Linked DNA regions of Danio rerio. The protein of the gene in region 1 binds, or shares a complex with, the protein of each later gene. Links are inferred from orthologs where the notes say so. Each region holds a gene or a part of one and is shown in the gene's direction. Other genes may lie near its edges. The genes, in order: ston2 and eps15.

What was found.
Region 2: the proteins of ston2 (region 1) and eps15 are in contact, whole or in part, in an NMR structure (PDB 2JXC), measured with the Homo sapiens proteins. The link is inferred for Danio rerio from reciprocal best matches to the Homo sapiens genes STON2 and EPS15. Residues at the interface, in NP_001353779.1 of Homo sapiens: Trp309, Arg310, Ala311, Thr312, Asn313, Pro314, Phe315, Glu318, Gln321, Asp322, Gln324, Pro325, Ser326, Ile328, Asn329, Pro330, Phe331, Phe334, Phe335, Glu337, Gln338, Glu339, Arg340; in NP_001972.1 of Homo sapiens: Leu139, Gly148, Lys152, Pro153, Val154, Leu155, Leu156, Asn157, Ser158, Lys159, Val162, Asp163, Leu165, Gly166, Arg167, Trp169, Glu170, His176, Gly178, Met189, Val192, Tyr193, Leu196, Glu197, Lys198.

What each region holds. Positions count from the first base shown.
Region 1 is NC_133192.1:18,060,607-18,064,438, forward strand, and holds part of ston2 (stonin-2), read left to right. Parts: intron 1-784; coding exon 785-987; intron 988-3,832. UniProt on the Homo sapiens protein: Adapter protein involved in endocytic machinery. Involved in the synaptic vesicle recycling. May facilitate clathrin-coated vesicle uncoating.
Region 2 is NC_133183.1:18,337,048-18,340,979, reverse strand, and holds the start of eps15 (epidermal growth factor receptor substrate 15), read left to right. Parts: upstream 1-1,413; 5' UTR 1,414-1,431; coding exon 1,432-1,458; intron 1,459-3,932. UniProt on the Homo sapiens protein: Involved in cell growth regulation. May be involved in the regulation of mitogenic signals and control of cell proliferation. Involved in the internalization of ligand-inducible receptors of the receptor tyrosine kinase (RTK) type, in particular EGFR.

The sequences.
Region 1 (3,832 bases):
ATATAAATACAAATTTAAATTAAGACATGTGGAGTATGCTGATTTTAGTCAGATTTTTAAAGTGCAGTACAGACATGCAAACACCGCAATCAAACTAATACCAGCGTGTAGGATTTCCGCTGCATTTTGCGACAGGATATTCTATACACATATGGCTGTTTGACACTATTCTCTGCACCTACAGAGTCGGTAAAGGACCATAGACACCTGCGTTACGAATTGCTGAGGGTTTTTTTTTTCTGATACCACGTGAGGTATCGAATTCCATTAAAACAACACTCTTGCAGCAGTTCATACTCGCATCCAATATCTCGTTTGTCACAAGGGGCATGCATGAAATGTTCCTGAATGAAAGTGAAAGTGTTAAACTGCATTTAAAGTTGACAAAATAAAAATAAAAACACCCGAAATGACATGAAACACCAGAGGAAATGTAGATAGTGCAGTGACAGAATGACGTTAATCAAATTATGTGCTTTAACATGTAAAACTTGATCATGAAAGGAACTTTAAGAAAGCAACTCATGTAAACACCTTAATCATATGATTGTCTTATTCAGATAAAGGCAAATAATTTGGTTACTGATGTCTGTGTAAACATAGTGACTGACTGTGAAATCAGATCTAGATAAAGTGATATGTCTTACAAGGCCAATTCTATGATGATGTTAAATTTCTCTGGTCCTGTGGGTTAGGCTAATGTAAAACTTCCTCTAGTAATTTGCATGAAGTGGTTATAATTGCATACATTCCATTAATGTGGTTGTGGTGGTATTTTTTGTAGCGCTGGGTCATCCTCATACATTCTTCTGCCGTTTGGAGCTGGGCTCAGATTGGGAGGTGCCGCCAACATTTGAATGCGTGGTCGAGGTGGAGTTTGACATGCCTTCTGCTTCTGCGTCCAAAGCCGCTGTTCGCTCTCTGTCTGTGGGGGACAAAACTGACTTGAAGAAATGGATCACCTACAAATCGCATTACTCCTATCAGGTATTCTGTGTGTGTGTGAAAGTGAGAGAGAGAGAGAGAGAGAGAGAGAGAGAGAAGGAAGTAGTAAAATATGCTTCATTTCACTAAAGTTGTCCTCTAGGCAAGGATGAATTATGTAAAAGTAACACACTATGTTCCAACATCCAGAAAAAGGCTATAAGCCATTCTACATTGGGTTACATGTTTTAATTAGGACATTTTTAAATGCACAGTTCTATTACCAGTTCAGTTTCCAGAATCATACTTGCATAAAGCATCAAATATATATATATAGCAACAGGCCTAATACGACATATTATAAGACTCAAATATGGAAATAATATCAGATGGTAACTTCGGTCAATTTTTCCCAATAGATAAACAGCTCTCTGTAAAATTTCATCATGCTTTCACTTTCTTTTAAGACATGAAACACACATTTACCAGTAGGAATGACATCCTGCCCTACTCTCTTACAAATAACCATGTGACTATTATACAATGTGACTATTACAAAATCATAATACACTGTGATATAGACTGGGTCGTTAGTTTCTTGGACTGATTTGTTTTCTCACTACAATCGATCCGCTCAATCTAGCAGAGACCACCTCATTCAGGCGATCTCGGATCGATTGATTTGGAACTGCGCAAATAAACGGGGTAAACGAGATAAACTCTGAAACAATGTTTATGTGTGAAAGCACCCTAAGATTGTATTTGCACGCAATTGACATATAGACGCAGCCAAGGTAAACTTTTTGTGACAAGGCAGCACTGCCCCTATCGGGCCAGTAACCACTCTGTCCACTGGCCCGAGCGTCTCGTACACTATATATATATATATATATATATATATATACACACACCGCTGCTGTACATTTTCATGTTAATATTACGGTAGTTTATTCCACCAAAACCCCAGTAAAGACATGGATTATTGCAAAACAAGATGGAGATTTCATTCCAGCAATTGCAGGGCACTGAGGGCAGGGTATGTTATTTAGGTTCTTCTGGATTTTATATAAGTGTGTTGGTGTTTTTATCTGGTTTTTATATAACACATTAAAAAATAATACACATAACTAGGCCTGTATATAACCTTTATTAGCACTGGCAATCAAATAACCGCATTCAAAAAGATTTTTTTCACATAAATATATTGAATCAATGTTTATTATTTGCTGCCTTCTGTTTTTAATCCAGTTTCTTGAACTTTCCCCCCCTTCATGAGTTAAAACTTTTGGAAGTCTATAAATTGACTTTCATTCATTCATTCATTTTTTTGTCGGCTTAGTCCCTTTATTAATCCGGGGTCGCCACCGCGGAATGAACCGCCAGTTTTTACGCAACGGATGGCTTTCCAGCCGCAACCCATCTCTGGGAAACATCCACACATACATTCACACACACACACTCATACACTACAGACAATTTAGCCTACCCAACTCACCTGTACCGCATGTCTTTGGACTGTGGGGGAAACCGGAGCACCCGGAGAAAACCCAAGCGAACGCAGGGAGAACATGCAACCTCCACACCGAAACCCTAACTGAGCAGAGCCTCGAACCAACGACCCAGTGACTTTCTTGCTGTGAGGCAACAGCAGTACCTACTGCGCCACTGCATCCCCCCTAAAATGACTTTTTTTGGCATTTATTATTTTGGCCAATTTAAACAATTATAAAGAACACAAAACAGAAACATTTTTATCCTCTGACTGTGTTTCCTATGTAGAAGAACCACTTCCTGCGCTCCATCTGAGTCTCAGTCTCACACATCATCAGTGACGTCATGTGAAAACAATCTGCAGTATTAATTAGTTTTGTGATCCTTGAATAGGGTCTTAATCAATTTTAATAATGTCATTGTTCTAAATTGGGCTTAATTTTCTTTATACTCTACATTGGTTGTGTAACTTTTTTTAAGCTGTTTGATAGATTTTATAGCTTTGATACTTAGAGTATCTTCATCTTCCTCACTGACACAACTTACCCCTCCTCCCACAGTGATTAAACCTATATTTATGTCATATTATATTCTATACATCTGTCCTTCCCCTCAAAATTACATTTTAGAAGCCTGCTAATTTAATTAGCCTATTTGCTGGTGATTTTCAAGCCCCTCAGGCTGGGGCTGAGTTAAATGTCATGCACCCTCAGACAAAGCCACCGAAAGACAAGTTGTCCCCCTGAAGCGAGCTGCTGTTTCAGCTGCCAGAGCTCGTTTTCCCTACTGCAATTCAAAACATGTCATTAAGGTGGCTGGAGCTTCTTTCTACAAACATCTGTTCCCATTACTGTTCAGCAACCACAGGGAGTGATTCATCACCGAGCAGAGGTGCGCAAAAACAGCACAAGATGTAAAACTCTGCCTGTAACCTGCGTATAGGAATGAATGTAAAGCTGCTGATGAAGCATCTTGCTGTATTTGATTAATGCATTGTAGCAGGTGTCTGAATGCCTGTGAGGTCAGCCAATGGAATGAGCTTGTTCAGAAAGTTTAGTCTGGATCAGAATTTTCTAGATTTGGAAATCTTCAGCCATCTTACTTTTGTGTCAGTTCCGTATCAAGTAAAATTGGATTAGATGACAGTGATTCAGATACAAAACACTTATTCTGATTTCCAAATCTGGATCACTAGTACTCTAAATACAATTACAATTTATGCTACTACATTGTAGAAAATTAGTTGCTACCTTAAATGTTTAAGTTGAATCAAACTAGTTTACAAGTCATCTTAAATTAAAACCATAAAGGGCACCTGATTGACCCCTTTTTCAAGATTTACGATTAGCCTTTTGTGTCTTAAGAATGTGATTTTAAAGTTTCAGCTCAAAACACCCATCAGATTATTTTATTATAT
Region 2 (3,932 bases), on another chromosome or scaffold:
AATCTACAGTGTGGCAGTAGCGTTCTGTCATGTTGAGAAATTATTCGACAACAGACATGAAACATCACAAGCTTTGTATTAAATATTGTTTTTAATGACCCAGTTGTGAAATATTTTAAAGCCTTAAAGTAAAAGATTTAATTTATTTTAATTTGAATTAGAGAAGTGGACACTTTTTTCTCCTTTTTCTTATAAGTGGAAACAAAAATGTTGAGCATAGAAATGCAAAGTCAAATTTACAGTGGATAGCACAGTAAACAGGTCTTGTATTTGCTTATTCAGTAATCAATACTCAATGTTACCATAATGCAATTAATTTATTTACAACCTAACCTATTAGTTATTTTTTAATTTTATCTATGATTATTTTTATATTATTATTATTATTGTTGTTATTATTGTTGTTGTTATTATTATTACCCTTATATGGGTTGAGCCCCTCTAAAATGTAAGTAGAATCTCCTCTTATGTTTATTCATTTATTATTCATTCATTTTGACACAATCTACATTGTAAAAGTGCTATGGAAATCAAGATGAATTGAATTTAATTGAATTTTCCTTTAGCTTAGTCCCTTATTTATCAGGATTCTCCACAGCAGAATGAACTGCCAACTGTTCCAGCATGTTTTATGCAGCGAGTGCCCTTCCAGCCACAACCCAGTACTGGACAACACCCATACACTTTCATTAACACACACCTTTAAACCACGGACAATTTAGTTTACCCGAATCACCTATAGCGCATGTTTGGACTGTGGGGTTAAAGCAAAGCACCCAGAAGAAACCCACAGGAACATAGGCAAACTCACACAGAAATGCCATCTTTCCCAGCCACGACTTGAACCAGCGACCTTCTGTGAGGTGACAGTGATAACCACTGAGCCACCATGCCACCTATTATTATTATTATTATTATTATTATTATTATTATTATTATTATTATTATGATTATGATTATTATTATTATTATTATACCCTTATTAGGTTTGAGCCCTTCTAAAATAAAAATCCTAGAATTACTCTTCCTTATATTCATTTATTATAATTAATATTATTGTTGTTAATATTATCATCATTATTATTATTATTAGTATTGCTTGAAAATCTCATGAATAAAAAATATCCGTGAAAAAAAGAGGGATCTCGCATTAGTTCACCACTTCTTCATCTCCTGATCCAGGTATTCCCTCTCCGTGTTTTATTTTATGTCCTCCTGTTCCACTAAGAACTCTATTCCAGTGTCTATTTTGTAAGGCGCCATCACCAGTCATTGGCTGTCCCATCATCACCAACAGATCCACCGAACAATGCACCGCCGGGTTTTGTTTTGCTCCAATCCACCAAGGACTCCAGTGCCAGGTTTTGTAGCATACCTATATTGCCCATTGCCTATCGCAACGCAGGATGAACTAGTGGGAACAGAAACACTATGGCTGCCAGTCTCTCCCTGACTCAGGTAACCTCCCTTTCTACACAAATATAGCACTCTTCAGGCCACTTTCCAGCGGTTCTAATGGGTTTACCAGATCTGTTGAGCTTTAAATGTGCGCTTTAGGGCGGAAAGCGATCACAGCCCGCTGTCTGGTCGCAGCTGTTTAAAGTTGTTTTCAGCCATTTGCTTGTGGAGAGAAAAAGTTTCAGTGTGATCTTTTAGGGACTTGCGTTAGGGCGTAGCTTAGTGTGTCAGTGTTAAACTAGGGTGGATTTACATGTATTTTTTTTCTAGCTTTTTTCGTAGCTGCTGTTCATCTAAAGTGGCAACTTTTGTTTGTTTTCTTTTTAAGGTCATGTTTCTTTAAAATGTCTCGCATATGGACGTGTGGAGGTTCTTGTAAAACTGTCGTTGAAAACTTGAAAGAGGAGCTGCAGTGATGATTACGACTTCATTTTATGGCACAATGACCTTTAAATGATCGTATTAAGGCCATTTTTTGACATACATTGGGTTTGGTTTAGTGGTGTGTAATGTATTAGTATATGGCAGTCTGTTTATAGTGGCATTGTAAAGCAGCAGGAAGTTTTGCTGCACTGCTAGCTCAGTGTTTCTCTATTCATCCTTTTAAAAATAGGAACTAGACATTGTTTGGTGCTAATATAGTCCAAAACGTCTGAATTACATTTATTGTGTGTATTTTTATTTTATAAACTTTATTGTTCTACTCGTAACAACTTTTTTGGGATTCTTTTCGACTGTTTAAACTAGTTAGCCTGCTAGCTAAAGCATTTTTGACACTCGCCCGCTAGCTGGCTAAACTGATGGTCAACCTTCAAAAAAGGTTATAGTTGAGTAATATAAGTCAAAAAGTGCCAAAAATCTCTAAACATTTAAGTAGGAACATATTTCCTATGTGCTCTTTGCATGTTCTGAGCAAATATTAATGTGACATTTATAGATAATATCTGACTGCATGTGCATTCTAGATGCATGTTTTTCTAGTCCACAGGGAATTATGCATTGATTGAACTGATGGTCTGAAATGCTCCTCACTTTGCATCTTGTCTTTTTTATTGCTTTAAGAATAAGACGTTTCTTTAATGGCAGTGGTGGTTGTAGTGTTGACCACATGCAGCTGATGGTGCTCTTAGTTTAGAAGCAAAGCACACATGCATGAAATATGCATTTCAGCATTAGCTCATCGAGAATACTAGGAGGAGAAGGACATACATCTGTCATGTCTTTAGTGTTTTCTGTGCAGCCAAAGAGCATAGGTTTGGTAAGAACTTATTGCAAGGAAACAGGAGGTAAAAGAGCATTTCCAGCGTTATGGATGTGACATTTGCAGTAAAAACTCAAAACATAAATTTACAAAGAAAATATATATGTTAACATTATATTGAAACATATGTTTATATTTTCCAGAACAACTGACCAGAGTTAGGAGATCAGAAAAATATCAATCTGTAAATATGTTAATACATTAAATAAGGGAAATAAACATGCGTTGTGGACGTGACCAAAAAAGGATGTCTGAGTTATACAACATACTTTGTAGAAATTCTGTGAGTTAAACGGCACATTCCAAAAGAAATTATGCTAGTCAAAAGTATAAGAGTTGGCTCTCTAGAACAAACATAATTGATTTTATTTTATTTAATATTTTTGCATTTATGCGGAAAAAGTGTGTCGTTATGGATGTGACTGATGTGAAGTTGACTTTGGTAAATCAATTATTATAGTTTAAAAACAATGAGAGAGATTTTTAAGTATTTCTAAAGTGCGGTAAAATACTTGCTTACACAAAACACTTACTGTAGAAATGGTTACCATATTTTGGTGAAAACTTATTTTTTTTCATGGCAAGGTGGACATTTGCATGGAATTGTTCAAAAGCAGAATTATGTATTTGAGTCACAAAGCCTTTATCTTAAAAATTAAATGTGACTGATTGTTTTCTGCTCGGCTATATTAAGTTATTGCATGTTTCTCATATTTGAGGCCATAATACTCCAAATGTCTCTCTTATTGCTACATTGTTCTGTTGTTGATTCTTCTAGTCTGTTCAAGTTTGGTATAGATAAAAAACCATTGGGTAATAAAAAGGGTGATAAAAAAGGGAGTGCAACCTTAAACCTGGTGTTGTTATAATGGCAATATCTATAGATAACAAAAATGTTTGATTTCATAATTGTAATTTCATTAATTTCTAAAATTAAATGTGAAAAAAAATCTAAAACGAGTATTGAACGTGTACACACGGCAAATATAAATACTTGGAAGCAGCCATGAAATAGTTTTGTTTTAAGGAATCCCACTATCACAAAACATTTATCGCAATCAGAATGTTGCTTTTACAAAAACATGCATCTGTGATGTTGTGTAAATAAACCTTTAATCATATTATACTTGTAGTTATAATACTTGTTATTACATTTGACTGTTCCTAGAGTGTGTATGGGGTTTGGTTAAACAGCCTTTTCCTCCTTTGGTCC